Linked DNA regions of Elephas maximus indicus. The protein of the gene in region 4 purifies or fractionates together with the protein of the main gene of each other region. This does not show direct contact. Links are inferred from orthologs where the notes say so. Each region holds a gene or a part of one and is shown on either strand. Other genes may lie near its edges. The genes, in order: ARID4A, SAP30L, BRMS1L and SINHCAF.

Region 1 (7,899 bases), on a different chromosome or scaffold from region 4:
TGCCTTCTACAGGAATTTGTCTTTTAAAAATCTCTAGATCTGACTCCGTACTGTACTTTGACAAATCTATTGATCTTTATTAGCCATTATTAAATCTTAAACATCAAACCCATTTGGCCACAAAGTTTCCTTTGGTTACAATCATGTAATTTCCCAAAATATAACTAAATCATTAGAAAAGCAGCTACATTCAATAGTCATCAGTTCGGCTTCTCAACAATATACTGAAGTTTACAGAAATAACTGCACAGTGAAAAAAAATTCTTTTTCACAAGAGTTACATATATATGATAACAGCACGGGGATAGTTAAATAAGATTACATACCAGGAACAGAATTTTCAACACGCATAGCAGATCTAAGTCTTTAAAACTGGAAATCCGAGCTTCATTTTTTCACAAAAACCAGGCTTGTTCTAAAAGACAAAGACTTCTTTTAGAGTATGTTACAGTCCACACTGCAAAACACAGAACTCTGGAGTCTGATTTCAAAATAGGTTTATATAATAGAAGCATTATTAAAAAATGACAATTTTGATTTTGTAGGAAAAATTTAAAATCACCTGTAAAATCATTAGGAAACTTTAAGAACACATATTCTCAGTTTCAGCTCATTCAAATACGTTACATAAAAATAATTCTATCATACTTTATTTTCTTTCATTTATACCATGGTCTAATTCACTGTTCAGGAGTCCCTGGGTGACACCTGACTACTAGCCAAAAGGTTCGCAGTTTGAACCCACGTGAGGTGCCTTGGGAGACAAGCCTGACAATCTGCTTCCAAAAGGTCACAGGCTCGAAAATCCTACGGAGCAGGTCTAATGCGCATACATAGGGTTGCCGTGAGTTAGAATCAACTTGACGGCAGCCAACAACAACTAGCCGTTCTGTTAATATTCATGTGCAAGTACTTCCCAATAAAATATCATAAAATCCTTTAAAAAAAAAAAGGATCGAGAAATTACAAAACATTTCAAGTAACTACTACTTTGATACATTTTTAATGGGTTCTACATTTTATTAGCAGTTGAAACGCAATTCAGCATTAAATCAAGTATTTGGAATGTTAAAAAAGAAAATCTGAAGGTTACGAAAGCACTTGTGCAGTATCGTTAATTCTCAGAAGAAAATTTCTATAAAGAAATACTAGTTTATCTTACATATTTTGCATACAAATATGCATAGACTGATAAGAAATACTTACAGAGCACCTAACAAGTAAGGGAACATAACGATGAAAATAGTTGCTGCCCTCTGGGAGCACTCTCAAAGGGGGAAAGAGTTAAACGATTCCAATTAATGTGTGATCAGAAGAGGCGTGTAAATGGTCCAATGAGGGTACAAAAGCGCTGAGGGAATCCACCTAAGAATGTGGAACTTTAGACAGGGGTACCCAGAAACATAAAGTAATTAAACTCAACTAACCATACCATAAGAGCAATCTGTTTGTTCTTAGTATATTCCAAATACCACTTCTGTTGTAGCAAAATGTTTCACTGTACGAATGTTCAACTATCCTAAAGATCCACTTCAGAAGCACCTAACAGAAAAAACAGTTCAAAAAACATTCCTAACCAATGACATAAAATAACGTGTACTGATGAGAAGCTAGTTTGTTCTGTAAACCATCCAAAGTTCAATTAAAAACCAAAAACGAGGGGAAAAAAAATCACTCCTAAGGCCTAAAAAAAATTCTCAAATTTACATGTAACTTCATGATTGTAATAATTCCATTTGATGGTGAGTCATGAATAAACAGATTCAGGAGTGAAAGCTCCTGACACACCTGAGATTGCCGTGTGTCAGAATCAACTCGACAGTAACTGATCTGGTACCAAATTTTAATTATGAGAAACAGAAATATTTAAAATAAGGAATACAAACCGAGAAACTGCAAAATCCTTTCAGACTGCAGATCTGAACGACAACCTCAAGTAAAAAGTGGTCAGCACAACGCTGTACAGAATGCCAACCTTTATGATTCTCAGGGATACTTGTACTGGATTTATTTTTCTACCTATAATGTTTTATATTTCTGCTTGTGCTCTATTAAATTTTGACTCTCTAAAAAAACAAAAATAGAAAAATAGAAACTTGGGGGAAAAAGCAGTAAAAAGAAGCAGGATAAAAAACATAATTGCAGCAGAAGTAAAAGCTTTCTGATAGACAATTATACAAGTATCAAAAGCCTTAAATGTATAATCCCTTTGGTCTTATATTTCCACTTCTAGGAATTTATTCCAAAGAAATAATTAGGGATGTGAAGGAAGATCTAGATGACTAGAAATTTTAGTCAGTGATGTCAATCATTAGGTAAAATATTTTGCAAAACATATACAAGAACGCTCAGTGACACGTTACTGCTCTTCAGTAAAATTAAGACAGGTTTTATAAATTATCTAGCCTATACAGTTGGACAATATTTCCAATGTGCCCAATGTTTTCCATAAAGAGAAAAAACATGAGTGGCAAAATACACAACCAGACTGTGAAACAAAACAAACCAGAATCCCTCCATAAGTACAGCATAAAACGTGATTACCTTTTGGTAGAGAGAATATAAGAGATGGTTTTCTTCCTTGGGCTTTTTATAATTTCCAAAAGCCTACTCACCTGCATTATTTATATTAGATAATAATTTAAAGTTGGGCAGTGGAATTATAGGTGATTACCCCCTGGGAAATTCAGAAGCATTATATTGCTTTAGCATTTCCTTAAAAAATAAGAAAATCACTTCTAAATACTTACTGACAAGATTGTCTTCATATGCTAAGTTTTTACACAGGAGAAAAAAATCATGAAAATGTTCAGTGTTTCATGATAAAAATATTAAATACTTAAAAATCCAGAGATGAGAACTACCTGAATGGGTAAAGAAACATATAAGGCTGACCTAATTTCCTAATTTTTCAATTTCATCCTAAACTATCACATCAGGCAGCTCATATGAACCCTCTGCCAAACAAAATATCTTTCAACTACTATTCTTCCATACTATCATTCATGGCTCTCCTCTAGTGGTTCACAGAAAACTTTTCCATGTGGGTCTCCCCAATTCTAAAAATTTTTACAGGTATCAGGACTCACCTCAGTAATATCTGGATATTTGTCATTGAGATGTCCTATACTTTCCTCAACACAACTGCCAAAAAGAAACAGTAATAAATTAAGTCACTCAACCATTTTTTAGTCTTGAGCCCCACCAACAAAACAATAGGGTTTAAAACACTGGTATTATGAGGATAATTATAAGATATGCATCTTGGAAACTCTATGGGGCAGTTCTACTCGGTCCTCTAGGATCGCTATGAGTCAGAATCACTCGACAGCACTGGGTTTGGTTTGGGTTTTGGTATCCAGGTAAGTGTGGCCAGTCACTCAACAGAAAATACTGACATACATTTCACGTAATAAATAATCTTCTGAAAAATCACTGCTATGAATAAAAAGGTTCAGGTTTAAATTCCCTTATTGAGTAAAATCAGTCCACGTGGATTATCGAAAATATCTCACATTTTTTATTATCTGAGTCTTTAAAAGTACTTCTTAATGAATACTCTAATGCCACCACTTAAAATCTGTAAGTTTTTGTTTCACTCAACAGAGGAGTTTGCTAAAAGAATACCAATAGCTGCCCTTAACTATTCTTATCAGCGAGGTCCGAATGTATTTCAAGACCCTACAAAATCATTACTGTTTCCTTTCAAAAAGTAGCTCGAGCCTTGTGCAGTGTAGCTTAGCCACTTGTCCAAGGTCACAGAAGCAGCGTCAGTGCTGGCAAGCAAATTCCTCAGCATTTGGATACCCAGAGCATTCCTCAGTTTCCTCACAGCTTTGTCACGCGAGGAGCACGCGGAAAACCCTCTCCCCACGTAGGATGTGTCTGAGTAAGAACCATTCCTTTCCCGTCTTAAGGTGGCCCCCACAGCCAGTGACGCTCAGCTGGAGAATATGTCTATTCTAAACTGAGGAAGGACTGCTGGGACAATAGCAAACTCAAGAAAACCTTCCCAACTCTTGAGATCACCACCCAGAAAGCGACGCGCTCGTCTCCTCCGCCTCTTCATCTGTCGCGCGGCGAGTAAGCCTCGCCCCCTTTCCTCCCACCGCCCCCCCCCCCCGCCCCGAGGCAGAGAGAATTTACTTTGCCATGGCTGTCGTGTGGCCCCTCCACTTCCGGTGCCGCTAAAGCTGCGCCATTCCCCAGTCAGGCAGGCTACCATAGCCTCCAACTGACCTTTTTGAAGGGTCCGTGACTCTTCCGCTATTCACTGAGTGGTGTCCTGGAGGGAACGGTAAATAGGTCCCGCACTAAAATGAACCTACCGGATAGACGCTCCAATCCCTTCTCGCCAGAAACATAAAATGCGATAGAGCTGTGGCCACCGCTGCCGAGACAAAATGGCGCCGAGAAGCCGCCTTAGCGCAGGCGCCTTAGAAAGACTCTGCCCCGCCCCCTTGCGAGCCCCTGGCCGCTGCTCCAGGTTCTGTTTCCATGGGACACTTCGGCGCCAATCCTCGTGCCGAACTGCTCTTCCTGACCCCTCAATTCACCAATCAGTGCTCAGTCAAGCACATCCGGAGTCGTTTTTACCAATCATTTCTCAGGACTTGCTTACTCAATACCTTACCTTCCAATAGCACTGGCCTTCGAAGATGGCCAATCATAAGTGGACGATGTCCTACCTGCTGTTTTTCGCACCAATCCGTGAAGTTTCAGAGCTACATCCAATGAGGACGGCAGCTAGCGAGCTCCAATCCGAAGCTCTTCGGCGTCATGAGCAGCCAATAGGAGTTCGTGTAGGAGCGAGTCTGCTCAACAGCTTGTTATTTGGTGGATTGTGGCAGTAAATCGGGCGAGTGGGGGACCGGGCGCAGGAACTGCTGCCGCGGCCGGTAGAGGTGCTGCCCGGACCGGGGCCCGCGGGGGGCCAGTGGGGGCAGAGCACTGGGGAGCTGACAGCGCGCACTTCACCCGCACTCGGTAGGTGGGGAGAAGGGAAGCGAAGGATACTGAATGGAGGAAGCAGTAGCAGCTGGTGCTCCTGCCCGGGGTCCCGGTGCAGTTGGAAGCTTTGGAGGCGTTGGAGGGGGGTGCCAGGCAAGCGGCGCAGCGAGCACAGGGGAAGGGGCAAGTCGTGGAGCAGTGGCAGCAACTGCAGGAACTGCCGCTGCAGCCGCCTCCTCGACCGCCTCCCCGTGTTCCCCGGGAAAATGGCTGTGGGGCTGGCCGCGCCGCTAAGTTTGCTTCCGCGCGGTGAGGAGCGGGTTGCTCCGGGGAGCCGGCCTCCAGCTCCACGGTGCGTCCTCTCCCGTAGTGTCCGTGGCAGGACCGGAGGGGCTGGGGGCTGGTGCCTCTCTCGAGCTGTACAAAAAGTTGAGGCGGGCGCGGGGAGGAGGCGGTGGCTGCCGCTGTGCGGCTCCCCTCCCCTCCCACACCCTGTCCCGGCCACCTCCCCTCCTCCTCTCCGCCCCCCGAGCCCCCTCCCCCTCGCGTATCTCCTCTCACCTCTCCGGGCTTCGGGCTGAAGGCCGCGGCCCCTGCCACTTCGGGGTGAAGAAGCGCTTCGGTTTCCTGACATGGTGCAGAGTGAAGGAAGGAGAGCAATGGCGCCGTGACACTCCGTTGCCTCCACCGCGGGCCCGGGGCGGGCCGAGGGGCCCGAGCGGCGGAGGCGGGTCGCGGGCCTAAGTCGAGAGTATCCGGGGGGCGGCTGAGAAAAGGCTCGGCGACCTTCCGTCTGGTGGGCTGTGGGAACCCGAAACGCGCACTGCCCTTCTCCAGCGCGACCCGTCCCGGGGCTCCGAGTTCAGCATTCCCAGTCAAAGTGGCGAGCGAGGCGGGGGCGCGGTGGGCCGCTGACGAACTCCGGGGCGGAACGGGCTGCCCTTTGGCGCCTCGAGGGTTCTTGCTGCCCCTCTGCCCCTGCGTCCTGGCCGCCCTCCGAGGGGATCTTATCCCTTTGCTGGTGAGGCTTCTGCCCCTCCCCGCTGGCGTTTGTTTACTTTCTTTCCCTGGGTCGCTCCCCGCTTTTGGCTGACTCTGTGCCTGTCTTTCCCCTCCCCATGATTCTAGCGACAGTGAAGATAGCTCGTTGAGCTGGAACCCCACAGATCACCAATAAAAATGAAGGTAAGTAGAATCAGTGCTACTCTGGATCTCGAGATGTCCCTGGCCACTGCCTGTCGTGAGGCTCCTGCCGTGGAATGTCATTTTTTTTGGTTCTCAAAATTGATTACTAAGCAGCACTTAATGAAAATGAGGACGTGTTGAATGGCTGAGAAATGATCAGTGTATCTAAATGCAGACGGTTCAGCCCCTTTCTGAAGCAGTTAGCGCTTTGGAAAGGCTGGTGCAACCTTTCAATTGTCCATTGGGCTAGTATTTTTAAACACTTCCTGTGTTGGCAGCAACCGTCGCAGAAGTAAAGCTTTTGTCCTGCTTTGGTGCTTTGGGGGATTTTTTGAAAATTTTTTTTCTTCTGTGCCAATGCAATTTGCTAAGAGAAAGAATATGGGGATTGAGTAAGGGGTATATGTCTTCTGGGGATATAGCGAAATTCCGGGCTAAAATATTTAAGTTGTACTAAAACTAATAATAGTTTTACTCCAATTTTCATAGTAAATTTTTTTTTTAAATATATCCAACCTAAAAAAAAAAATTCTTCGGAAGACAACTAATCTTGCAAACATCAGCATATGATATTTAAAGGGGAAGGTATCCTAACATTCTGGAGCGCTGTGGCACTCAATGTTTCAGTTTGGGTATTTTTTTGTGGAAAGCATTCCTCTTCATTTTGCATTCTTTGTAAATCCATTACCTTTAAAAGGTACCAGATTCCCGACTCGTTTACTGTTTCAGTGTATTAAGCTCTGAAACGTGTATGTGGCATTTTCCAAAACTTTCTTTTTCTTTCCTATCTTCTTGCACTAAGTGACACATCTAACCTTCTTTAATGTTACTAGGAAAAATAAAAAGCCTTTTTTTATTTTTTAAACTTAATCTGTCTCTAAAGTGTACACTGTTACCTTTGCACTCAGCAATGTTGAATTTGGAACTTAGCTTTAGGAAAAAATAGGCAAAATGACAGATTGAGATAGCAATCATTTTATTATTGTCAAGATCAAAATTAATGGTAAAATAAAATTTCTTGCATCGTTCAATGTATCATTCTAATCATGGCCATTAGACATTTCTTAGCGAAGCTCGTTTTTTATACCAGGATTACCAGTTCTGTAAGCTAGGTAGGGCTACAGTCTTGAGACATCAGTTCCCATCTCTGCGTTCATTAGCTGTATTTAGACTTAAACTTTTTATATGCCCCTTTCAACCAAAAAATTTTCCGAATAATAATCTCCTTGTCAGGATGGTTGTCTTCATTTCTTATATGTATAGTTACACTGTATCTAAGGTACAGGCTTTATGTAGCTATGTTAATAAACCTTTAATTGCATATTGTTAGTATTAATTTTAATAGCAATATTTCTTTTAATTTGAAGACAACATTTTGAGGAGACCATAAATGAATGGTTTAAAATTTTATGGGAAATGTCAAATGAATATAGTTTTCCTCTTTTTTATTGTTTTTCTGTATTTTATATAAATTGTAGAACTGTTGAACCATTTTATATCTATAAAAAATTATTGTATTTTCTTACTGATACTTTGTGATTACAACTATAAAACATCTTCTATTAGATAAGGACATCCAGTGTATAAAGAGCTATTTAATAAAATGTTGGCTTTAAGGGTATTTTTCTAATTATTAATGATATTAATAAGCAAATAATTTTAGCATTCCTTTCATTTTAAATACAGAACCTTTAAACGAGTCTTGAAGCTGAAGTAGGAAAAATTTTTATTTTTATTTTTAAATTTTATGATCCTTTCATCAGG
Region 2 (7,980 bases), on a different chromosome or scaffold from region 4:
CAGTGCTTCCCACCATTATGTTGTACTGCCGTAATGGTCAAGTCAACCATCCGTCCATGTACTCATCCATCCATTCATTTATTCGCTGAACAAATATTAACTAAGTTCCTAAAAAAAAAACCTAGGTGCTGGAAATTTTCTGTTAAACCTCCCTGTCCTCACAGAGCTTCCAGTCTCCAAACAAGCAAGATATCTATGAGTATCTCACAGGACAAGCTCCCCCTACCAGATCCAGGGGAGGACAGAGGGCAGGTAACATCAGAAGTGTGTGTCTACACCCACCACTCCCCGTATCCCCCTCTCAGTTCCAACTGACACATTCTCTGGGGAGAAACTGACCAATGCCATATGCTTAACCCACCAACCAGCATGGGATCCATCCCTAAGTGTCCACCTGTTGCCAAAGAAGAGCACTTATTGGAAATCACGCCCAGAGAAATCTACTGAAGACCCCAAATAAGGAAAGGGCAGAGCACAGGGGAGGGAAGAGCTTATCTAGGGCTGTGATGGCCTGGTATAGGTGTCTAGCCCTGATCCTTTAAGGACTGGTTGGGGATTCTTCTAAACTGGTGCCTAATTGGATGGAGTGATTTGGTGGGCACCAAAGAGCCTGGGGTGAGAAGGGGAGAAGATCAGGGAGCTTAGTTAAGAGACCATGGTATATACATTGAGAGTCATGAAAATGTTAGTCTTTGACCACAACTCCACTTCTGGGAGTCTGCTAAGGTAATGATATTAAATTTTTTAAATATTATGTTGAAAAATATTTATTGTTGTGTTATTATTAATAACAGGTAAAAATGAAAACACAAAAATATTCAATGATTGGGGGAAGTGTAAGTAAACTATGGTAATAAAACAACAGTTAACATTAATCACTTATGATGTTCCAGGCACTGTGTTAAACATTTATTTCTCACCACGCATTTCATCAACCTTAGAGAAGTGAATTTCTCTCATACAAGTAAGGGTAAACACAGGTGAATTACCCATAGCAAGTAAAGGATGGAGCCCAGACTGACCCCAGTTCTGAAGCAAAGTCCATCGTCTTAAGCACAGTAGTATAATGTACTACAGCACTTGGGAGTATTATGCAGCCATTAAAAAGAGCGGTTGTGAGAACTACGTAACAAGCACTGGGAAAGCTCCTGATAAAGCATTCCTTGAAGAAAGCAGACTACAAAATCATATGTAAAGGACAGGCAAAATCATGCCCTTCTCCTCAAAAAGAAAATACATAGAAAGGTTGGTTATATCAGTCTGAGTCCAATAATCAGGAAAGAGAAACCATACAATAATTTGAACAGGGAATGTTTAATATAATTATTAATTTAACAGGCAACTGTAGGAAGGACAGATTGACTAAAATGAAGTACAGAGAACTCTAAAGCGTACAGAAATTCAGACCCTGTTGGAGAAGCCATAGCCGTGGTTCACAGAATGGCAGAGAAGTCCTGTTAATGAAGCTTGCCAGAAATCCACCCTCTGAAATTTACTGGTGTGATGGTTAAGCCCTCAGCTGCTAACCAAAAGGTTGGCAGTTTGAACCCAACAGAAGCTCCAAGGGAGAAAATACCTGGCGATCTGCTCCTGTAAAGATTATAGCCTGGGAAACCCTATGGGGTAGTTCTACTCTGTCACCTGGGGTTGATATGAATTGAAAATCAACTTGACAACACCTAACGTAAGAAAATGGAGCCCTGGTGCCACAATGGTTAAGTGCTCAGCTACTAACCAAAAGGTCGGTGGTTCAAACCCACCTGCCACACCTTGGGAGAAAAGACCTGGCATTCTGCCACTGTAAAGTTTTCAGCCTTGGAAGCCATAGGGGTCAGTTCTACTCTGTCCTATAGTGTCACTATGAGTAGGAATCAACTCGATGGCACATAACTATAACAACCTAACAAAAGTATGTTGGAAAAGCTGTTAACTAGGTTTCAGTATGGATTTCACCTCAACATAAAGAAAACAAAAATCCTCACAACTGGACCAATGAGCAACATCATGATAAACAGAAAAGATTGAAGTTGTCAAGGATTTCATTTTACTTGGATCCACAATCAACAGCCATGGAAGCAGCAGTCAAGAAATCAAAAGATGCATTGCATTGGGTAAATCTGCTGCAAAGGACCTCTTCAAAGTGTTGAAGAGCAAAGATGTCACCCTGAAGACTAAGGTGCACCTGACCCAAGAAAAAAAAAAAAGCCATGGTATTTTCATCACATCATATGCACGTGAAAGCTGGACAATGAATAAGGAAGACTGAAGAAGAATTGATGCCTTTGAATTGTGGTGTTGGCAAAGTATATTGAATACACCATGGACTGCCAAAAGAACGAACAAATCTGTCTTAGAAGAAGTACAACCAGAATACTCCTTAAAAGCAAGGATGGCAAGACTGCCTCTTACATACTTTGGACACGTTGTCAGGAGGGATCAGTCCCTGGAGAAGGACATCATGCTTGGCAAAGTACAGGGTCAGTGGAAAAGAGGAAGACCCTCAACAAGGTGGATTGACACAGTGGCTACAACAATGAGCTCAAGCATAACAATTGTAAGCATGGCGCAGGACCAGGCAGTGTTTCATTCTGTTGTGCATAGGGTCGCTATGAGTCGGAACTGACTTGAAGGCACCTAACAACAACAACAGGTTTATCACTACAGTGTTTCAATACAAAACTGATACAAAATCTCCCAACAGACCTGGGGATTCTAGGGGAAGCTGGTGCTGAAGAAGCTATGTGCACTGCAGGAGTCTGGCTCAGGATAGAAATGCTATTTTGAAAAATATCTAAGTGTGAAATATGTGTGGAAAGTGTAGAGCTCTTATCCCTACCAATCACCTTGAACCAACATCACACACTGCCTTATTCAGGTATATGTTTTCTGTGTAAATGTCTGAGCTCCCCAGTGAGACAACAGTCTGTTTTAGGGCAAGGGTTATGTTTTATTCTCTTCCTGTAGCCAACCCTGCACCAGGCAGACACAATGTACTCAATAATTTCTTTTGAAGATATGAACTCTGAGAGGAATTCTATTAAACTTAGCCTTTATTCCATTAAGTTTTTATTCTATATTTTTTCTACTATAAAAACAATAAATGCTTATTAGGGAAAATGCAGAGAAGTAGAACAAAGGGAGAAAAATACCAACCATATACCCACTACCCAGAAATAATCACTGTTAGCACTTTGGTATATTTCCTATGCACAAATAGTTGCTTTTCTTTTTTTTAAACATAGATGTTAACACATCATATCCCATAAACAATTTTATATCCTGCCTTTTTAACATTGTTTTTTAAAAAGCATTTCTCAACTTTGTTGAAGAGTTGATGCTGAATTGTTACATATACAGAATGTTTACATAAATGTTGAAACCACCTTAAATGTTGAAAAGATCATAAATCACTGCAAAATACCTCATTCTAAAGATGTTAGGAAATTTACTTAACCACTTTACTTCGTGAAACTTTTAGGTTTGATTTTTCCCTATTATAATCTCATAATTATCACCCTTGTGCTTAATTTTTTCTCTGGTAGGCCTGTTTCAGAAGATGGATGTCCCAGGTGTGAAATTACTAGGTTAGAGGGTACAAACACGTTTAAGGCCACTGAGACAAATTTAAGATCACACAGCATCCGCTTTTGAACACGGTAACTGGTAGCTTTCCCTTTCACAACGGAATACAAATCCGAAGCTCTTTCTGGCCATCTAGTACTCTCTAAATAGGAAAACGTGCTCACGTCCCCCTCCCTGCAAGTAAACTTTCTACCTAGCCCTAAACGACTGCGTGACCCTGGACAAGTCCCTTCGGCCCTTTGGACATCATTTTCCCTAAGCTGTTTACTAGGGGTGGCCTACCCTAGAGGATCTCCTGTCCAGGTGTGTGTGCCGCCCAGGGCGCCGAATCCCAAGCGTGGGGGCTTGGCAGGGTGCGATGGCCTCGCCTTTAGACAGTAGGTCTTGGAGCTATAGAAGCTGCAGTTCACGAGCTCCTGGGAGAGCCCCATATACTGCAAGCCCTTCCCCAGCCCGAGATTGGCCCTTGCTCCCTCCCTCCGCCCCATCCAGCCTTTTCTCCACCTCCTCCGCAGCCGCCCCTCCTTCCCGCGGTTCACTTCGCCCACCCTTCAGACCTTGTCCGGACTTTGGATTCTTCCCAACGGAGGGACCACTCAAGACCCTGGGGGTCACCCCCCCACACACACTTCAGCGCCTCCCAAGCCAGTCCCATGTCTACAGTCTGGGGTCTCCCCCACACCCAACCGTCCTACTACCTTGACCCTGCGCCTACCGCTCTGCTTCTCCTCCCTATCAGACCCCTATCATTTCTCCCGCATCTCTTTGCACGTGCCCATACCGGGACTGTCCCTCTGTTTTTCCTGACATGGCTGGCTTTCTGTCCTGTTTCAGACACCCCACCTCCCATCGATCTGCGGCTCCTCTGGTCCCGTCTCTTTCGTTTTACCCAGTCTGTCCCTTTCATGACAGTACTTGTAAACCCTTTAGGTCCTCCTTCATATGCCCCTACCCCCATGTCTGTCCCTCTGCGCCCTCGCCCCGTCTGTACTTATGTCGGCCCCCGGATGTCGTCCCTCGGTTCCCAGAGACTGTCCCTCCGTCCAGCCAGGACCCAGCTGACCATCCCTCCCCACCGCCAGGGAGTCTGCGGCCCGGCCCTCCTCCCTCGGCCGGCAACTCTTGCCTCTTCCACTTTCTCTACTTTGAACCCATCCCAGCAGAGTCCAGGAAGTAGCCAGGCGCCGGGAACTGGCGGCGGTAACGTCCAATGGGACGCGCCAGCGGCGGCGGAGGCCCCGCCCAGAGAACGAGCGAGGCCAATGGGCGCAAGGAGGCGGGACTTCCGCTGTCCCGCGGAGGGCGGGGGGTGGCGGGGGGAGAGAACTGTTGTGGTGCGGAGCGTTGGGCGGGCGGCGGCCGGGCGGCCCAGGGGCTGCCGCGGGACTCGGGGCGCAGCAGAGCGGCTGCAGGGGTGGGGCGGGCCGGACGCGCCGCGGGGCCCGGGCGCCGCGGGTTCGAGGCCGGGCCCCGCGCGGGGAGGCCGCGCCACCCCGGGAGAGCTGCCCAGCAGCGAGTTTGCCCTGCAGCCGAAAGAAGGCGGGAGCCGGCGGGGGCCCTCGAACCCCCCTGGCAAGCCGGGCTGGGAGTGCCTGGAGAGCGGCCGCTTCCTGGGGCACCCTCTCGGACGTCCCTGTCGGAGGGCGACCGTTCTGGGCCCCCGGCGGGAGACGCTCCGGGTGACCCCCGGCGGGGCCCTGCGAGCCGCGGGAGGCGGCCCCGGGGCCTCGAGAGGGGAGACAGGGGGTTTCCGGAGAAGCGGGCCAGGGGGCTGAAGGAGCCGGAGCGCGGCGGAGCGGGGCCGGGCCTCCCGGGCGCGGGGCAGGGCAGCGCCTCATCCGGAGACCGAGTCTGGGACCCTCGGGGACGGGGGTCTCAGCGACCTGCCCCGCAGGGAGCGCGGCCGCGGAGTGGCCTACCAGGGACCCTCCCCTCGCGGGGCCGGCCCGGGCCGGGGAGATGAACGGGTTCAGCACCGAGGAGGACAGCCGCGAAGGGCCCCCCGCCGCCCCCGCCGCCGCCCCGGGCTACGGCCAGAGCTGCTGCCTCATCGAGGACGGCGAGCGCTGCGTCCGGCCCGCGGGCAACGCCTCCTTCAGCAAGAGGGTCCAGAAGAGCATCTCGCAGAAGAAACTCAAGCTGGACATCGACAAGAGCGTGAGTCCGCCCCTCCGGGTCAGGGTCCCTGCGCCCAGCGGCTCCGGCCACTGCCCGGGCTGCCGTCCCGACTCCCGGGCCCTCCTCGCTCCCGGCCTCGCCGCCCTTTATCTCCCAAGCCGACGAGTTGGACTCGGAATTTGAAAGGCCGCTCCAGCGCTGACATGCCATGACTGTGATTGTGCCCAAATCCGGGGGGCGGGGAGGTTCCGAGGACTCTTCCTGCCTGGGAAGGTTGGACACCAGTTTTTGTCTTCTTTTATTGGTTTAGATACTAGAGCAGTGAGAGGTGACTTAATCTTGTTGGCCCACAAAGGAACAGGTATTGGGGAGGGGGTGATGAAGGGACCCGGCTCTTCTCCTGCTTACCCCCCAGCGTCCGGCAGCCTTGTTAGTCCTTCAGAAAAGGCAAGGTGACAGTTCGACCCTGGCCGCCGCGGCCTCAGTGTGTGCGGTGGGTCCCTGAGCTCGCTGCTTCAGAGGCAGCTGTGGGGAAATGGGTTCTTCAAGGATGTGGCAGAAAATAGTCAAGGCCAGGTCTTCGGTGTCAGTGTAACTGAAAGGAAAAAAAAAATCAATTTCCTTAGTGGTTGCCGCTTTAGAAATGCGGGGTTCTTTGTTGGGGGGGTGGAAAATTGATTTAAATTGGAATAGGATTGCCTCGTGTTTTGTGCCTAATTATAGGAAACTTTTCCTGTGTGATTTACCATTTCTAGTTAACAATTCTAAAGATGTGCCTATTGTCAACCAATTAAGAACTTTTTAGTTTGACATCTGTTGCAGCAATCCTTAAGTGGCTTCTTCATGATTAGGAATTAGAAATGAGTTAAGGGGGTATTTAATATTCTGGTTGACTGGCTTAGAGCTTAGATGGTTAACATCCATTCGCTTTTAGAATCAAAATTTTTCCACAGTTAGGGAAAATCAGAGAATCCTCATTGCTTTTTAAACTGAAAGGGAGACTATTTTTCACTTCTGATGTTGTAGTTGAGACACTGAAGGCCGGAGATAGAAAGGGGCATTGCTCAAAGTCACAGGGCACCTTAGAGACTGGTACAGTTCTTAAACCCGTTGTCTAATTTACTGCCAAGTCCCATGCATAATCCTTGATTAAGTCTTTTATAAGTAAACCTCTTCCCTGCTCTTTCGTCCAAGCTCTCCCACTCCCAGTTTTTGTTCTTTGTTTTTTGTTTGTTTGTTCCTTCAATTTAAGGATTATAATGTATTTGCAGTTCTTGAAAGGAAAGGTGCCATTTTAAAATGGTTGGGGGTGAGCTAATGCCTTTTTTTTTTTTTTTAACTACAAATCTCTGAATGAATGAATGAATAGAATTCATCTGAGAGCAAACAACTGTCTAGACATCAGGGAGGTCCCTAATTGGCAACAAGGTGTTGAAGTAAAATACTTCTTTCTAGAACAGCAATGAATTCATCCACTTGGAATCTGCCTTCTGTGTAGGTTGTTGGGAGCCTTTACTTGAGCAGATTATAACAATAATATTTTCCAGTCCTTAAAAAAAAAAAAAGAGTAGTTTTCAGTCCCTTTAAACCTTTGAATGCCCTTACATCTGAACGATTTTGCTGCTGCGACTGGGGCTCCATTTACCCAGTGACTCCAGTGGAGAGCCTGTGTTGAGCTATGTTGATAATTTCACACGCACTGCCTAGAAGAGAAGCAGCTGAACCTAGCTCTAGCATTCCCCAAAGGTAATGCTCCTGGAACAGTAGGTTTTTGAGGTGGAATCACTCACAATTTGTTTCAAGGTGGTGTTGTATAGTCATTATTTCTGAAAGGAATTCTATTTCATTCTCACAGGCTTGGGCAGGCATTCAATTCTACGTAAATGCTGTGTTACAAGAATTTTTAGCTGTTGCAGAAATTGAGATGGGAAAAAGATACTACAGCCTTTGCTGCCACTACCGCCCCCTCTAAAAGGCCACTGATCTCTGGAATTTCTCAAAACCAGTATGTTGGTTTGGTTATGGAGAAATAATGCTTCTTTACATTAAAAAAGGGTCTAACAGAGAAACTTCTTAAACAACAGCACCAAAAATCTGATTCAAGTGATTTGACTTTTTATATGTAGACATTGGCGGTGTTTTGTGCTTTATTAAAAGATATAACATGCTTTCAAACATCCTCTAATTGATGCATTTCTGTTTTTTTGTTTTTGTTTTTTTCCTGGAGAAAAGTGGAAGTTGAGAATAGTATAAAGCAAAATGTTGGGGTAGGAAAGGACA
Region 3 (7,203 bases), on a different chromosome or scaffold from region 4:
AAATTAAGGAGTAGTAGTCCTGGGGTCATGTAGATGACAGCTACTAGTAGAGGTACTGTGTGGTATAAACTGGCGACAAGCTGGGGGCTTAGGGAGGCAGGAGAGAGGATCATGTGGAAGGAACAAGGAGGACAAGGAAGGCATACACTCCACAACAAGGCTCAGTGAAAGGAAGGGCACAAAGGAAGTAGAGTCCTAGGGGAAGAGCTGTGTTTCCTTTAGACCAAGAAGTTGAAGGGACTATTCGGAGAAGAGGGCGAAGATATAGGCGAGTTTGATGATGACTAACTATGAGTTCCAGAGGGTTCACACTAAATGTGTAAATATAAATGGATTAATTAAAATGTATCTAATGTTTGTATAAACCCTACGTAAAATGTAAAGTGCTATACAAATATAAAGCATCACTTAACTGCCTTGACTGAGGAAACTTCATCCTACTTTCATGATTTTCTTTACATTAATTTATATTTTCCATATTGACAATATTCTTTTCTAGCCTTTTTAACTTTTCCCCCCTATGTTGTTAGTTGTGGTCTGGTCAATTCTGACTCATTGCTACTCCATGTGATTTCCTTCACATCTTTTCTAAAATGTGTTTGGGAGAGGGGGAGGAAACCCTCACCTTAGGCAAAACACCATCATGCAACTCTAACTGCATAATCTCCTATTATTCTGTCTTCTTTAAACACCATTAGTGATGATGACAATTTTAAGAGTTGTAAGGGAACTTAAGGATTACATTATGCAACCTTCTGATTTCACAACTGACCAGAGATTACGTGGTTTGCCAAATTTAATCAGATGGATACTAACAGAGCCAGGGCTAGAACCCATGCCTCTTCCTCTCCACCTTCCTTCTGTTTTTCTTTGAGCAGCACAAACATAGATAGCACTTGCTAGAGGGGCACTGGAGTTCTGGTGGCTAAGAGTACAGGCTCTGATTTTGGAATACCCAAGGTCAAACTTCAGCTTTGACACTTATTAGCTGTGTAACCTTGGTCAAGTAATCCAACCTTGCTGTGCTTTGGTTTCTTCATCTATAAAATGAATGGTATAATAGTGCCTACCTCATAGGATTGTTATGAGAAATGAATGTACACACCAGTAATTGGCAGGTAGAGAGTGATTTGAAATTTTAGTTATCGTTACTATTTAGCAAGCACTCTGCTAACTGAGGATATAACAGAGAAAATGGAGGCTAAAGATTTTACCCACAGCTGTTTTTGTTTGGTATGGAGTTTGAGAAACAAAAACAACAAATAATTGTTATAATTTTTATAATTCTGACTATTTCACATAGAGATAAATTTCCAGGTTCTCATAAAACTGGAAGGTCTGATGATCTTAAGCCAGAATTCTTACTAACAATTGGGTAGAGCAAAAAGCAGCTGCCCTCTTTAGTCCACACCACTCACATAATGTATGTGCACACTTCCAGCTTCCATCTTTTAGCTTTACTACTTTTAGCCTGACTACTGCATGCCTTTGAAGTTGCAGCCCAGACTAAGATAATCCTTGCTCTCAAGGAATTCACAATCTGATAAGTGAGATGCATTCTCATAAACAATTCATAATACAGTGTGATAGAAAAAACTCGAAGTTGCAAAGTACAAAGTTTTGCTCTAGCCTGAAGGAACATAAGGCTGTATGGAGAGGTGGAGGAACCGATAGGGAAATGTGTTGTCAAGACAGTGGCTTTGAAAAATGTATAGATACTCACCAGGAAGAAGAAGAAGAGGGAAATAGGATATGCAAAGGTATTGAGATTGGAGACAGTTTTTGTATTTAGCAACTATAAGGGGTTCAGTTTTGGAGAATATAGTGAGAGGGGGAGAAGTAGGCTGACACTAGATAATAAAAAACCCCTAATTTGGATTTTACCTTGTGGGAGATGGAGAGATTTCGAAAGGTTTTCTGTCATTAATTTCCAAACCTAATGTAATTATGGCCAGGGTACCCTTACCACCCTCCCTCAAATGTCTTTGAATTTCATGTTTGAGAAGGAAATGCCATATAATCCATAATATTCTATGAAATCTTCAACAGCAAATTATCACTTCAAGAAGAAGCCTTGTCTTATAATGAGTAAAACATAGTTTTTAGATTTGTCTGCAAATGGTTTCCTCATCTGTACAATAGGGTTAATAATAGCACCTTCCTCAAGGCTGTTAAATTTAGAATTAAACTTAATATAACCATGTAAAGAGTTTACCAAGGTACCCACACAGAGTAAAAGTGGTCAATTAACACTAGTTATTATTACTATTATCAGACTGATTGTTGAGTCTTCCTTGTCTGTTTATTATTGAGAAAATATAACAGCATCTCATTGAGTCAAACACGTATGTATCAGTGAAAACTGAACTTAAATCAAGATGGTGGCATCTTCGCTGCATTTGGTAAAAAATAAATGCAAAATATGATTGACAAAAAATGGGCAAAGGACTTGAATAGACATTTCACCAAAGAAGATACAAAAAAAACAAACCAGTTGCTATTGAGTCAATCCCAAGTCATGGTGCCCCAAGTGTGTCAGAGTAGCTGTACTCCATAGGGTTTTCGATGGCTGATGTTTTCAAAGTAGATCACCAGGCCTTCCTTCTGGGGTACCTCTGGGTCGATTCCAACCACCAACCTTTCTGTTAGTAGCCTAGCTCATTTACTGTTTGCACTACTCAAGGACTCCTAAAGAAGGTATACAAATGGCTAGTATGCCCATGAGAAAATGTATAAGGTTACTAGTGAAATGCAAATCAAAACCACAAGGAGATACCACTTCATGACCACTAAGATGGCTATGATGAGAAAAGCAGAAAACAATAAATGTTGGTGAAGATGTTGAGAAATTGGAATCCTCACCTATTGCCAGTAGGATTGTAAAATGATGCCGAGAGGAAAACAGTTTGGTAGCTATTCAAAAAGTTAAACACACAGAATTACTATAAAAACCACTGTTGAGTTGATGCTGACTCATGGTGACCCTATAGGACAGAACAGAACTGCCCCATAGGGTTTCCAAGGACTGCCTGGTGGATTTGAACAGCCCACATTTTGGTTAGCAGCTGAACTCTTATACCACCTAGTGATACACGCAAAAGACTGGAAAGCAGGGACTCAAACAGGTACTTGTACACCAGCGCTCATTGCACCATTATTCACTACAGCCAAAAGGTGGAAATAGCCTAAATGTCCATCAATAGAGGGATGTTTGAACAAAATGTGGTATATATATACAATGGAATATTATTCAGCCTTAAAGAGAAATAAGTTCTGATACGAACAGTGACATGGATGAACTTTGAAAACCCTATGCTGATGAAATTAGTCAAACACAAAAGAACAAATATTGTATGATTCCACTTACATAAAATATCTATAATAGGCAAGTACATAGAGACTGAAGTTTATTAATGGTTACCAGGGGCAGGTGGGAGGGGGAAGTGGAGAGTCATTGCCTAGGTGACACTGAGTTTCTGTTAAGGATGATGAAAAAAAATCAAAAACAGTGGTGATGAATGCACAATTTGGTGAATGTAATTAATGTTTCTGCACTGTACACGTAAAAATGGTTGAAATGGCAAATGTTGTTATATATACTCTACCACAGTCTATATTGAAAATGACAATATAAAACACCATTCCTTTCTAGATTATTGACTGCAAAAGTTTCAAGAACAATTTAAAGACTTTTGTACACCACAGAAAGTGCAAGTTATTGTCTACAATTACTAATCCAAATAATAGTTGTGTGCGGTATTTTGGTATAAGAAACGGCTCTCCAGTTCACTCAGCTCAAAGAGCAGCCAAAATGCCTTCAGGCAAAAGACCTTTTCACACCCGACCGTAAAGTCTTAGATATCCAGGGAGCTCAGACTATCCACTTGGCGGGAAAAGGATAAACACGGACCCAAAGTTCCACAATCTGTTTCTGTTTAGTTTATAAACTGAGATCGAGTGTGTCAGCTTTTGTGCCTTGTGGGACTTGAAGTCCAGAGGGGAGAAGTGATCAGGACTGTTGAGGCAGGGAAGCCGTCAGCCCCTGAACGTCTGCGCAATAAGGACTACAACTCCCTACTAACATCAGGAGGCCGCGCTGTAATGACGGACAACCAACCATGCCTGAGCAGGGCAAACCCCGCCCCCGAGCTCGGAGGACAGCCTCCACCAATGGCAGAGCACCCAGTGCAGAGCCTGCGGGTTAGGTTGTGAGGCCCCGGCCGGGGGCGGGGAGGAGCCCAGTGGGTTCAGAACGAGCTCGGCAGTGGGGTGGGTCCGGGCGTTCAGCGCGCCCTTCATTGAAGCGGCGGTGGCCGGGCTGGGCGCCGGGAGTGGGAAGCGACGGCGTGGCTGGAAAATGCCGGTGCATTCCCGAGGGGATAAGAAGGAGACGAACCATCACGATGAGATGGAAGTGGACTACGCTGAGAACGAGGGGAGCAGCTCCGAGGACGAGGACACCGAGAGCTCGTCGGTCTCCGAGGATGGAGATAGCTCAGGTATGCGACCCAGCAGGACTGGGACCCTGAGTCCCCGCGCCGGGCGCGCGACAGGCCGCTCTCTGCACGCGGGGCAGCTGCGTCCTGCTGGGAGAGCGGGGCGGGGAGAGAGGGAAGGGGCGGGGATTGGCTCCCAGCCCTCCGCGGAACCCGGACCGATCGCGGGGCGCTGCCTGGCTCCAGGCGTGTCCCTGGCGTGGGGCGGGGCGGAGCACGGGCCTGGGCTCGCCCAGCCTCGGGTCGCGTCACTGTTCTGCTCGCGCTTCGACCCGCCCTTGGGACCCCCGGGCTGTGTCCTGGGGCTGTGGACAGGCCCGGCAGCTTGTCTTGGAGACCCAGGAAATGCCTTCTCTTCGCAGACCACCGACCTCTTTCCTTTTTTCACCTTTGCAACGCTTACTTCTCAACGTGGGTGGGTTTTCGGGGCCGAGGGTAGATTTGTACCAGCCCTTGGCTGGCTTGGAATTTACTAACCTCAGCTTCGGAGTCAGCCTGACAGTCAGCGTTTTACATCAGTTCTCTTTTGGGGACTGACTTGGGAGCTGTCCAGTTTACAGCATCTCCCTGAACTTTTCAAGCCCGAGAGGAAGGGACCAACTTCGAGGAGAAGATCCCACTTGTGTTTATAAATTGATTTTTGGCAGCTTTCAATTTCTCCAAGTACATTCTTCCTTCCCTCTTTTCTACCTTTGGGCTATTTTAGGCTTTTTTTTTTTTTTTTTTCGATGACGGAGGGGGATTAACACCTCATATCAGTTTTGCAAACTTAGGAATGGTTTTTCAAAAAAGGAATGGAATTTGTGACTACCTGAATTTTTTTTTCCGTTTATCGTTATAATGAGGATGAAACTCATTTGTTCTGGCCTGATTTTGGCCATGTAGGGTACAGGTTGAGGACAGTCTCTTATCATCCCTATATGCCTTCTTTTCAGGTTCCCCTTTAAATGTAAATCTCTTTGGAAGAATGTAACTTTAATTAATAAATCAACCATCCAAAAATAAACATTTATCAGTGACTTCTTTTTGTAGCACTGGGCACTACCCAGTGTGCGGTATAAATAGTTACACTTCAGTCTCCCTGAAGGATTGTCACCACTTCCTTAAATTCCTAAATGAATGCTTAACTATAAACGATGCTGTAGGAATTCAGAGGCAGAGAAAATCTTTTCGGAATAGGATGGCCAGCAAAAACTCCTTGAAGAGATAGGATTACTTTAATTATCTTGAAGAATGGGTAGGATTTGGATGTGGTGGTAATAGTTGGGTGTTCCTGTAGGGGGAGGAGTATAAGAAAAAGTGTAAAAGCTAAAGCTTAAGGCTTATTTAAAAGAAGGAGAAAACCAGTTTGGTTTGGAGAAGGATTTGAGCTATGAAGGGGAGGGAAAGGTATAGATACGGAAGATTTCAAAAAGCATAAAACAGGATCAATGAATGCAAGTTTAGGAGTGAAGGTAAGAGAGAAACCCTGATACAAGAAGTAGAAAAGTAAAAGATTTGAGATAAGGATGGGACATAAGTAATAGCACAGTATTTTAGACAGGTCGCATTTGAGGTGATGGTGGTATATTTAAGTAAGAATGTCCCACTGATAGATGGAAATGGTTGATTGGAGCATGCCAGGGATGGGAAGAATAACTTGAAAGTCATCTGCCTAGCTATGAGGTAAGTGGGGATTATAGATAAAGAAGATCACAAGTTCTTTCTTAAACTTTGAGGAAATCTAGACTCTGAGTGAGTACATGTCTTAGATCTTAAAACATTTTATCTGCAAGTAGTTTTTGCTTTAATTAAAAAATTTGTATTCTTTCGACTAAGGTTTATAGAACAAACTAGTTTCTCACTATACAGTTAGTACACATATTGTTTTGTGACATCAGTTGTCAACATTCTCCACCATGGGTTCCGTTACAAGCTTTCCTGCCCTCTCTTGCCTTCCCCTCCTTGCCCCTGGGCTGGTGTGCCCATTTAGTCTTGTTTTGTTTTATGGGTCTGTCTCATCTTTGGCTGAAGGGTAAACCGGGGCCTGTCTAATCTTTGGCTGAAGAGTGATTTCAGTACTGAATTAAAAGTGTGTCCGGGGCCATACTCTCAGGGTTTCTCCAGTCTCTGCCAGACCAGTAAGTCTGATATTTTTTTGTGAGTTAGAATTTTGTTTGACATTTATCTCCAGCTCTGTTTGGAACACTCTATTGTGATCCCTGTCAGAGCAGTCGGTGGTGGTAGCTGGGCACCATCTTGTTGTGCTGGACCCAGTCTGGTGGAGGCTGTAGTATTTGTGGCCATTAGTCCTTCGGACTAATCTTCCCCTTGTGTCTTTGGTTTTCTTCATTGTCCCTTGCTTCAGATGGGGTGAGACCATTGGAGTTATCTTAGATGGCTACTCACAAGCTTTTGAGACTCTAGATGTTATTCACCAAAGTAGAACATAGAATATTTTATTTATAAATTACATTATGCTAGTTGAGTTAGATGTTCCCCAAGACCATGGTCACCACAGCCCTCAGCCCAGTAATTCAGTCCTTCAGGAAGTTTAGATTTGTCTATGGAGCTTCCATGACCTTGCCTTGAACAAGTTTTACTGGCTTCTCCAGTATTGCAAACTGTCTTATTTTTCACCAAAGTTAGCACTTATCTAATGTCTATTTAGTGTTTTCCCATCTTCATGCCTCCCTCCCTCATAACCATCAAAGATTGTCTCTTTTTT
Region 4 (6,940 bases):
AATCCCTCTTCTGAACTTGAGGCACTTGTTTATCTCATGGAATGATAGATTTATAGAATTCGATGGGAGTTTAGAGGTTAGCTATTTTTGTATCCTAAATAATATAATTCATTGAATGGAATTATTGAAGAAAGATATTTTTGGCTTTGTGTGCATGTGTGTTTTGGTTTTTTGGTTGGTGTGTATGTGTGTGCACAGGTATAAATACCATTAGTGATGGAGAGTTGCCTTTTGAAGTATCTTGAACCATCATTGTGTTGAAATTTTTTTTACATTTAGCAAGAATTTACTTTCTTGTGATTTTCAAATCTAATTCCGTTCCAAAACATAAAAGAACACATTCATTCACTCTTCTAATAACAGTCCTTCAGGTAGTCAAAGATTGCTATCTTGCTCAAACTAAACATGCTCCCTCCTTCAATTATTGCTTCTATGTTATAGTTTCCAGCCTCCTTCATCATCCTGGCTTACTGTCTTATGAACTCATTCTAGTTCGTCAATGTTCTTGAAATAAAATAATTTTTATTATCTGTAATTTTATCTTTTTAAAGTATGCTATTCAAATGTCATAATATAGTGATAAATAAAGAGATTACTCTAAGAATGAATTTTTGTCAATTAAGTCATTAAGTTCAGAAACTTGAAAAGTCAATTTCAATTAAATAATAAATAGCTTTTTCTGGCAGCTGCCAATGGTTGTTGGAGGATTGGGATATCTTAGATCACATAATCAACTCCATACCTTATAGTGTAAAATTATCTGACTTGTTCTGACCACTTGCTTATTTGAACTTCAATAGGATTTAAACAAATAAGTAGCAAAACATTGTACTTGCTTTGGTGTGAGGAAAAGAGCTCTTGATTTTGTCTTACAGCTATTACTCTGTAAGGAATTTATCCCAAGGTTTAATAATAATAATCAGCTCTTTCCTGGGCTCAACAAATGATGTTTTGATGTGGTACCTGCTTGGATGAAGATATTAGACTTCATTTATAAAACAATCATTAGCTTGAGTTGTCATTACAAACGTTACTAACTGCTGATAATATCCTTCATTACCAAGCAAGAATTGTCCTCTTCTATCTTTGATATAGGTTGCTATGAGTCGGAATCGACTTGAGGGCAGTGGGTTGGGTGGGTATCTTTGATATAATTTTTCCTCTATTACAAGAATATTATAATAAGTTTTAAAGTTGCAGACAGCAAGTAAATCTCAAAAGAAAGCAATGAATTTTACAGAAGAAGAATAGCAAATAAGATAGAATTGCACAGAAAGAAATTAGGAGAGGTGAGGTGGCTTGAGCCCCTCCAGAGATAAAACGGTTTCACTGTCTGGCACATGGTTACAATTAAATGTTTGCTGAATGAATGTTTAAGCATTGAGCTACAATATGTTATAAGCAAGGTATTTGGTTTAGTCAGAGTATCTGGCTACTTAGGTATATTTTTAATTTCAATATTTTTATGAATTCATAGTGAGTTCAACATAGCACTATTGTATTTAAAAATACTCAAATATTTTCTTAGCATGGTGTAATTCAATCTCCTGTAATCCAAATTTATATTTTTCTTTCCTTTTTTTTTTTTAATGTTCAAAAATTCACTTGGGCTTCTTAGGTAACAGTATTTTTAAAAAGTATCCCATAAATGAGCTATTGGCCCTGGATAAAGCCAGCCGTAATACCAACACGTTCAAGCAACGTAATGAACCTTTGGAATGCACCTGGTTGTTCAAAAATACCAGGTAGTTGTTAAAAAAAAAAGAAGACTAAGGAATTAAAATTTCCCTTTAAGAGTTCTGTTGCTACCTTTCTTACAAAAATTACCCAGACTACTTCTTTACCTCTACTTTGAAAGCAAAGGAAATCCTGCTACACGGTATTAATTCAGTAGGTCTGGAGCTTCCAGGTACTTTCTTATCTAAACAGTATATTCTAAACACTGTAATTCCTGCAATGCTTGCACATTTGAACCTATTCCATCCTTGGAATTAAAAAATATATTCTTTACATAAACTTCCAAGAGAAAAGGCATTCAAGGTATACTTTCATATTTGTTGTAAGCAATAATAGAAGTTTTAAGAAATATTATTAAGATACTTGCAATTTTCATATCTCAAATGGCGTATAATTTGAAATTATTTTTGGAGGATCTGCCATAAACCAAATATGTATTTGAGGTAACTCAGGGGAACTTTCAAAATTTTCTTTAAAAAGAAGGTAATTTTTTATGCTCAGGGTCTAGTGTGCCATCAGTGAAAACCCAGAAATGGTTATCCAGCCTATTCAAGTTTATTATATAAGGACAGAGATGGCATTATATCAATTGAGGTGATCATTATGACTTCCAAACTCATTTTAGGTCAAATACAAAAATTGTAAACTAAAGCCAAACTCTTTTGGCTTGAGATAAGTCTACAATAAATTTGAAAATATCCATTGATTTATTATTTATCAACCAATCATTCAGAATCCATTACCTGTTGTGCACTGTTTTAGGCACCAGGATACAAGAATGAGTAAGAAATAAAACCTCACATTCTAGGGAGCAGTGTCAGGAGTTTTTTTTTCCTTCACAGGTATTAAAAAATAATTTTAATATACAGTTACAGGAATAATATACTAAAAATATTTTTAAAAGCAGAATAAGACTTCAGAAGTGGGTTTGTACTGTGTACTAGGAATTGGCTGTTGAACTAGCGTTTCACAAGTATCTATTTAAATCCATATTGTTGACATTACAGTGAAAGCAGTGAAACTTGTCAGCAGATGATTAAGTTTTACGGTTGATGTTCACACTTTTGTATTTGGGACCAATATCAAATTTCTGGGATAAACATCCTTCCTCTCTCCCCACCCTCCTGCATCATTAAATCGGGGTCTCTGCCTGTTGGGGTTAAGTGTGTTCCCGGGATAAAGGTGTATCACAATCATTCTTTTTTCATTTAATGGCAATGTTTTTTTTTTTTTAATCTGAGAAGTTACTTCAGTTTTTTTTTTTTTTTTTTTGTTGAGGCTAGAAACGTTTAGATTGTTGGTTTATTAAATATTCCACAAGGAAAATTTCCATGTTTCCCTCGCCATTTTTTCAATTCCTAAGACTACCAGTCAGTGCTATTATTTCTGGGTGAGTGGAACACCCTTTATAGGCAGCTGGAGGAGGTACTCATGTCCCTAGATTATTGGCTTTCCACTGACTAGGTTTTTGAGAAAGCGGCACTGTTGCCACTGAAATTAATAACTATTAGTCTCCACAGTCTTGAAATCTTATGGCCGAAGTGAAGGAAAAAAAAAAAAAGGAGTTACCGTTTGAAAAGGGCAGGTGGGAGTTACTGAATGGACAGGGTATGAAAATGGGACTTTATTAAAAGACCCATTTTAATTGCAAGCAAAAATAAATCTGTTGGCCCGAGGATTAAAAAAAAAGCTTCAAAAACCCAACTTCAAAGAAAATGCAGGAGACGTGGGAGAAGATGAATTCAGCCAGGGTGCTTATAAAACCACCTTCCTTGTCACCTCAGGCCAAAAACTGGGCACAGGTGTGAAAAGTTTACAGAAACAGCCTTCAAAAACTTCTCTCAATGCGAAATAGTGCGCCCTCAGAACCTCTAGGTGGAAAGCACGTCACGGGGTCTGTGTTCTCCCTTCGTGGCTAACCTTTCCGCCTTTCTCATCCCGCCACTCCCCCTCAGCCGTCGTCTCCAGCTAGGGGCCGTTTGTTTATGTGACGTCCGCAGTAGTAAGCAGTCCCCGCCCCCGTTTCCCTCTGGCCGCCTCTTTTCCCGCGCCGCGGCGCTTCTCCCCTTAAAAGGACAATAGAAGTTTCGGGAGCGCGCGCGGCCGCCCGGCCTACTCCCCTCCCCAGTCCTCGACGCGCGCGCGTCCGCATGCAAATAAGTTCGATTCAAGAGAATTTTGCACTAGGAGCTGCGCGTGCGCAGAAGGAAAGCGGAATCTACACCTTCCCGGCCAGCGGTAGCAACTGCAGAACTGCAGGAGACAATCTTTCTAGACAAGGCAGTTGAGGAGGAGGGAGCGACTGGCGTGGGGGGGCTGGCCTGGCGTGCACTCCGCACTTCGGGAACGTTTCTGCGAGTGAAACGGCTGCTTTTGGAAGGTGAGTTACTCTAACAATTACTCTGGTGAAAAACTGTTTGACGAGGCTTTGATTTCAGGGTTTTTTTTTTTTTTTTTTTCCTTCCTCTCTTTTTACCTCATCCACCTCCCCCAGCCCTTCCATACACAAACGTACACACACACACAGGAAGTTTTGTCTTGGAGATGGCATTGCTGGGAGCGCTGCTTTGGTGATCTTCAAAGTCCAGATTATTTTCTATGCATACGTTTACTGTGCATTTTTAATGGAGGGGGGGAGGGTATTTGAGGGAAACCGAAAGTCTTGGGGTGGGAAAGTGAGTGGAGCCTGGAAATAACTGAGGAGTCGCTGGAGTTGAGGGATCCACTTTGAAGGTGACAATGACTTTTCTCGGTCGCAGTGTTCTCTGGCTAAAAGGAGTTCCATGGCTGAAAGGCCCAAGAGAAAAACGACTTGCTGGCAATTGCGGAGGGGACTGGGGTCGTGCATCCGCGTGGGCGCAAGCCGTGGTAATGGTCGGGCGCCGTGGTTAAACCTCGTGCTTTAGTTTATTGCAGCTCCTTGCGTGTGTTTTGATAAGGGTGGACAATAAACGCCATTCGCTCGAAAACTAAGTTGCCATCTACTTCCGAGCAGGCGGGCGTGAGGGGGTTTAAATCGGCCTTTCGGGCTAAAAAAAAGTGCTGGGATTTGGCGAGTGCACGCGGCGTGGCGTTATTTGCTGAACTCCAGAGGGATGCGGATGCGACAATGAGAGCAACACGCGGCGCTTGAGAGCAGCCCCAGCTTGCAATGCCTGCTCTGCTCGGACCGCGCCCATGGAGCTTTTGGTGTCCGATGTTTCTTCGGAGCCTTAAGTTGTGTTACCAATTTATTCACCTGTAGCGTAGTGTGGGCGCAATGGCTAGGGCTTTCTAGGGCGACTGTGTGCGCTTTAAGATGGCCAGTTAGAGCTAAGTTGTCTTGGGGATGGAGGCAGCTGCGTTGTCTGCGCAGAAGGAGTGAGTGAACTCCGGAGGGCACTGCTTTTTGTGCTCAACATGACAGACCACGTGCTTTGGGCTGCGACCTGGGCTTTAGTCGGACGTCGGTCTGAAGGTCCGGCTCCTTGTTAGCAGCAGTCAGATGCGGTCGCTGTCGGGTAGGTCCGGCCGGCAGGACAATGTGATTTGCTGGTGATGGCGTCTTGCCAGTTTAAAAAGCAGAGTGAAAGTCGCCAACTCTCGGCTTGTGTGGGGCCTTTCTCATCAAGGACACTGTGAAACTTTGATTAAACCGGCCCGTTTCCAACAGAGAGGACCGGAGGACAGGCTCCTGACTTAGTGGGCTCGAGGTCTGAAGCCTTCCCCGCCCGATTGTCAGTGTCTTGCCCCTGGGAAACAGTCCGACATCCCTGATGCTGCACGTAGGCAGCGCCCGGCTGGACAGAAAACAAAGAGCTGCATGTGCCCGTGCGGGCCCCGCAGGCTCTCCGGGCGACCGCCGGGGCCGAGGGCGGCCCGGGTCCCGGCCCTCCGAAGTTCAGGCGCGCTTCGGGAGGGGCTTTTGTCCCTCAGTTCCTCGTGGGGAAACTTTGCGCTACTTGTATGAGGTGCCATGCTGGTGCGCGGGGAGGCGGCGTGCTTCCCCCGCTCGGGGCGAGCGGTCGGAGAGCTGGGAGCCCTCGCGGCCCCCCGCGCTTCGTCCTGACCCCGGAGCCCGCTGCCGCGGCCACCGAGGGGCCAGGAGAATGTGGCCTGGAGCTGTGGGCCCGGTACCCGGAGCCCGGAGTGTGTGTCTGGGAGGTCTGTGGATTCGCCTTTGAAGTCGAACTGTTGCCATGTTTGAATTACGTCAGGGCAAAGCCATGAGGAGGAACAAGCCCCGGCAGCGCAGCGTGCGGGAGGCGCGGCCTGCGGGAGGCGCCGGGCCGGGGCGGGCGCGGGGGCCCGTTGTTCCAGCGCAGGTGAGGGAGGAGGGGAGCGACGGCTCACCTCCCGCTGCCCTCGCCCTCGCGCTGGCGAGCAGCCCTCAGGAGGAACTTTCTTCTCGACCCAAGATGTCTTATTTACCAAGAAATTCGTCAGGGTGCATTTCTCTTTGCTGGCTTAGTGTCACCGCGTGCCGGAGGGGGAAGCGCAGTTTGGGGGAGACCCCAGGGCCGTAGAAGGACCGGAGTGGAGGGCATTTTGCCGCTTTCGGAGAAACCGGCGAGTGCGACGAGCACCTCCCCCCGCTCTGGCCCGCAAGTACAGGAACCCAGCCCCGACGACACCAGAAAACCACCGCGGGGAAGTTTCGGGGCTCCCGCTGTCGCTGCGAAGGGAAGTGAGGACTGTGGCCGAATTGTGCGTGCCGCTGTTTTCTTTGTGTGTTTGCTCGTGGGAGGGGGAATCGGGCGGGGCAGGGCTTCTTTTGGTTGGAGGGGGGTTCGGTTTCTGGGAAGGTAGGACGGTGCAGAGTTTGTTCTGGTAACTGTGACCCCCAGTCGGTTTTTATTTTTATTGTTGTTTTCTCTTTCTGCCGTCTAATAGACTTTAGATTACTACAGGCTTTTGGATGATTAGGAATTACTACTTAACTAAACATGGACCCTGGCCGAGACAGCTTTACCCCAGCATTTTTTTTTCTCCCCATTCCGTATGTTGTCCCAAGGAAGGTTAAGAAAACGTCTTTTCCCTTTTAATAATTTAAAAAATTAATCTGACCTTGTCATTAAAAGTACACAGAAAGCACCTGTTTTTGAACTGAAGTTTGCCAGACTTGCCAAGCCTTTTAATTTATGTTGCAAAACTGAACACATTAGGTTGCTCAATCTAAATTAAAGTCTGGGAGTTTGGTTTGGGGAGCATTTAAAGTATTATA

What was found.
Region 1: the proteins of SINHCAF (region 4) and ARID4A purify together in Homo sapiens (affinity purification with mass spectrometry; 3 studies listed by BioGRID and IntAct, counting the BioPlex papers as one, with this or other methods). This does not show direct contact. The link is inferred for Elephas maximus indicus from reciprocal best matches to the Homo sapiens genes SINHCAF and ARID4A.
Region 2: the proteins of SINHCAF (region 4) and SAP30L purify together in Homo sapiens (affinity purification with mass spectrometry; 3 studies listed by BioGRID and IntAct, counting the BioPlex papers as one, with this or other methods). This does not show direct contact. The link is inferred for Elephas maximus indicus from reciprocal best matches to the Homo sapiens genes SINHCAF and SAP30L.
Region 3: the proteins of SINHCAF (region 4) and BRMS1L purify together in Homo sapiens (affinity purification with mass spectrometry; 3 studies listed by BioGRID and IntAct, counting the BioPlex papers as one, with this or other methods). This does not show direct contact. The link is inferred for Elephas maximus indicus from reciprocal best matches to the Homo sapiens genes SINHCAF and BRMS1L.

The regions. Positions count from the first base shown.
Region 1 is NC_064828.1:70,643,494-70,651,392, forward strand, and holds the start of ARID4A (AT-rich interactive domain-containing protein 4A), read left to right. Parts: upstream 1-4,892; 5' UTR 4,893-4,986; intron 4,987-5,879; exon of another isoform or gene 5,880-5,971; intron 5,972-6,078; 5' UTR 6,079-6,129; coding exon 6,130-6,135; intron 6,136-7,898; coding exon 7,899-7,899.
Region 2 is NC_064820.1:170,584,581-170,592,560, forward strand, and holds the start of SAP30L (histone deacetylase complex subunit SAP30L), read left to right. Parts: upstream 1-4,966; 5' UTR 4,967-5,541; coding exon 5,542-5,739; intron 5,740-7,980.
Region 3 is NC_064828.1:48,160,519-48,167,721, forward strand, and holds the start of BRMS1L (breast cancer metastasis-suppressor 1-like protein), read left to right. Parts: upstream 1-4,195; 5' UTR 4,196-4,357; coding exon 4,358-4,499; intron 4,500-7,203. UniProt on the Homo sapiens protein: Involved in the histone deacetylase (HDAC1)-dependent transcriptional repression activity. When overexpressed in lung cancer cell line that lacks p53/TP53 expression, inhibits cell growth.
Region 4 is NC_064822.1:89,800,964-89,807,903, reverse strand, and holds the start of SINHCAF (SIN3-HDAC complex-associated factor), read left to right. Parts: upstream 1-3,934; 5' UTR 3,935-4,117; intron 4,118-5,959; exon of another isoform or gene 5,960-6,041; intron 6,042-6,047; exon of another isoform or gene 6,048-6,423; intron 6,424-6,940. UniProt on the Homo sapiens protein: Subunit of the Sin3 deacetylase complex (Sin3/HDAC), this subunit is important for the repression of genes encoding components of the TGF-beta signaling pathway.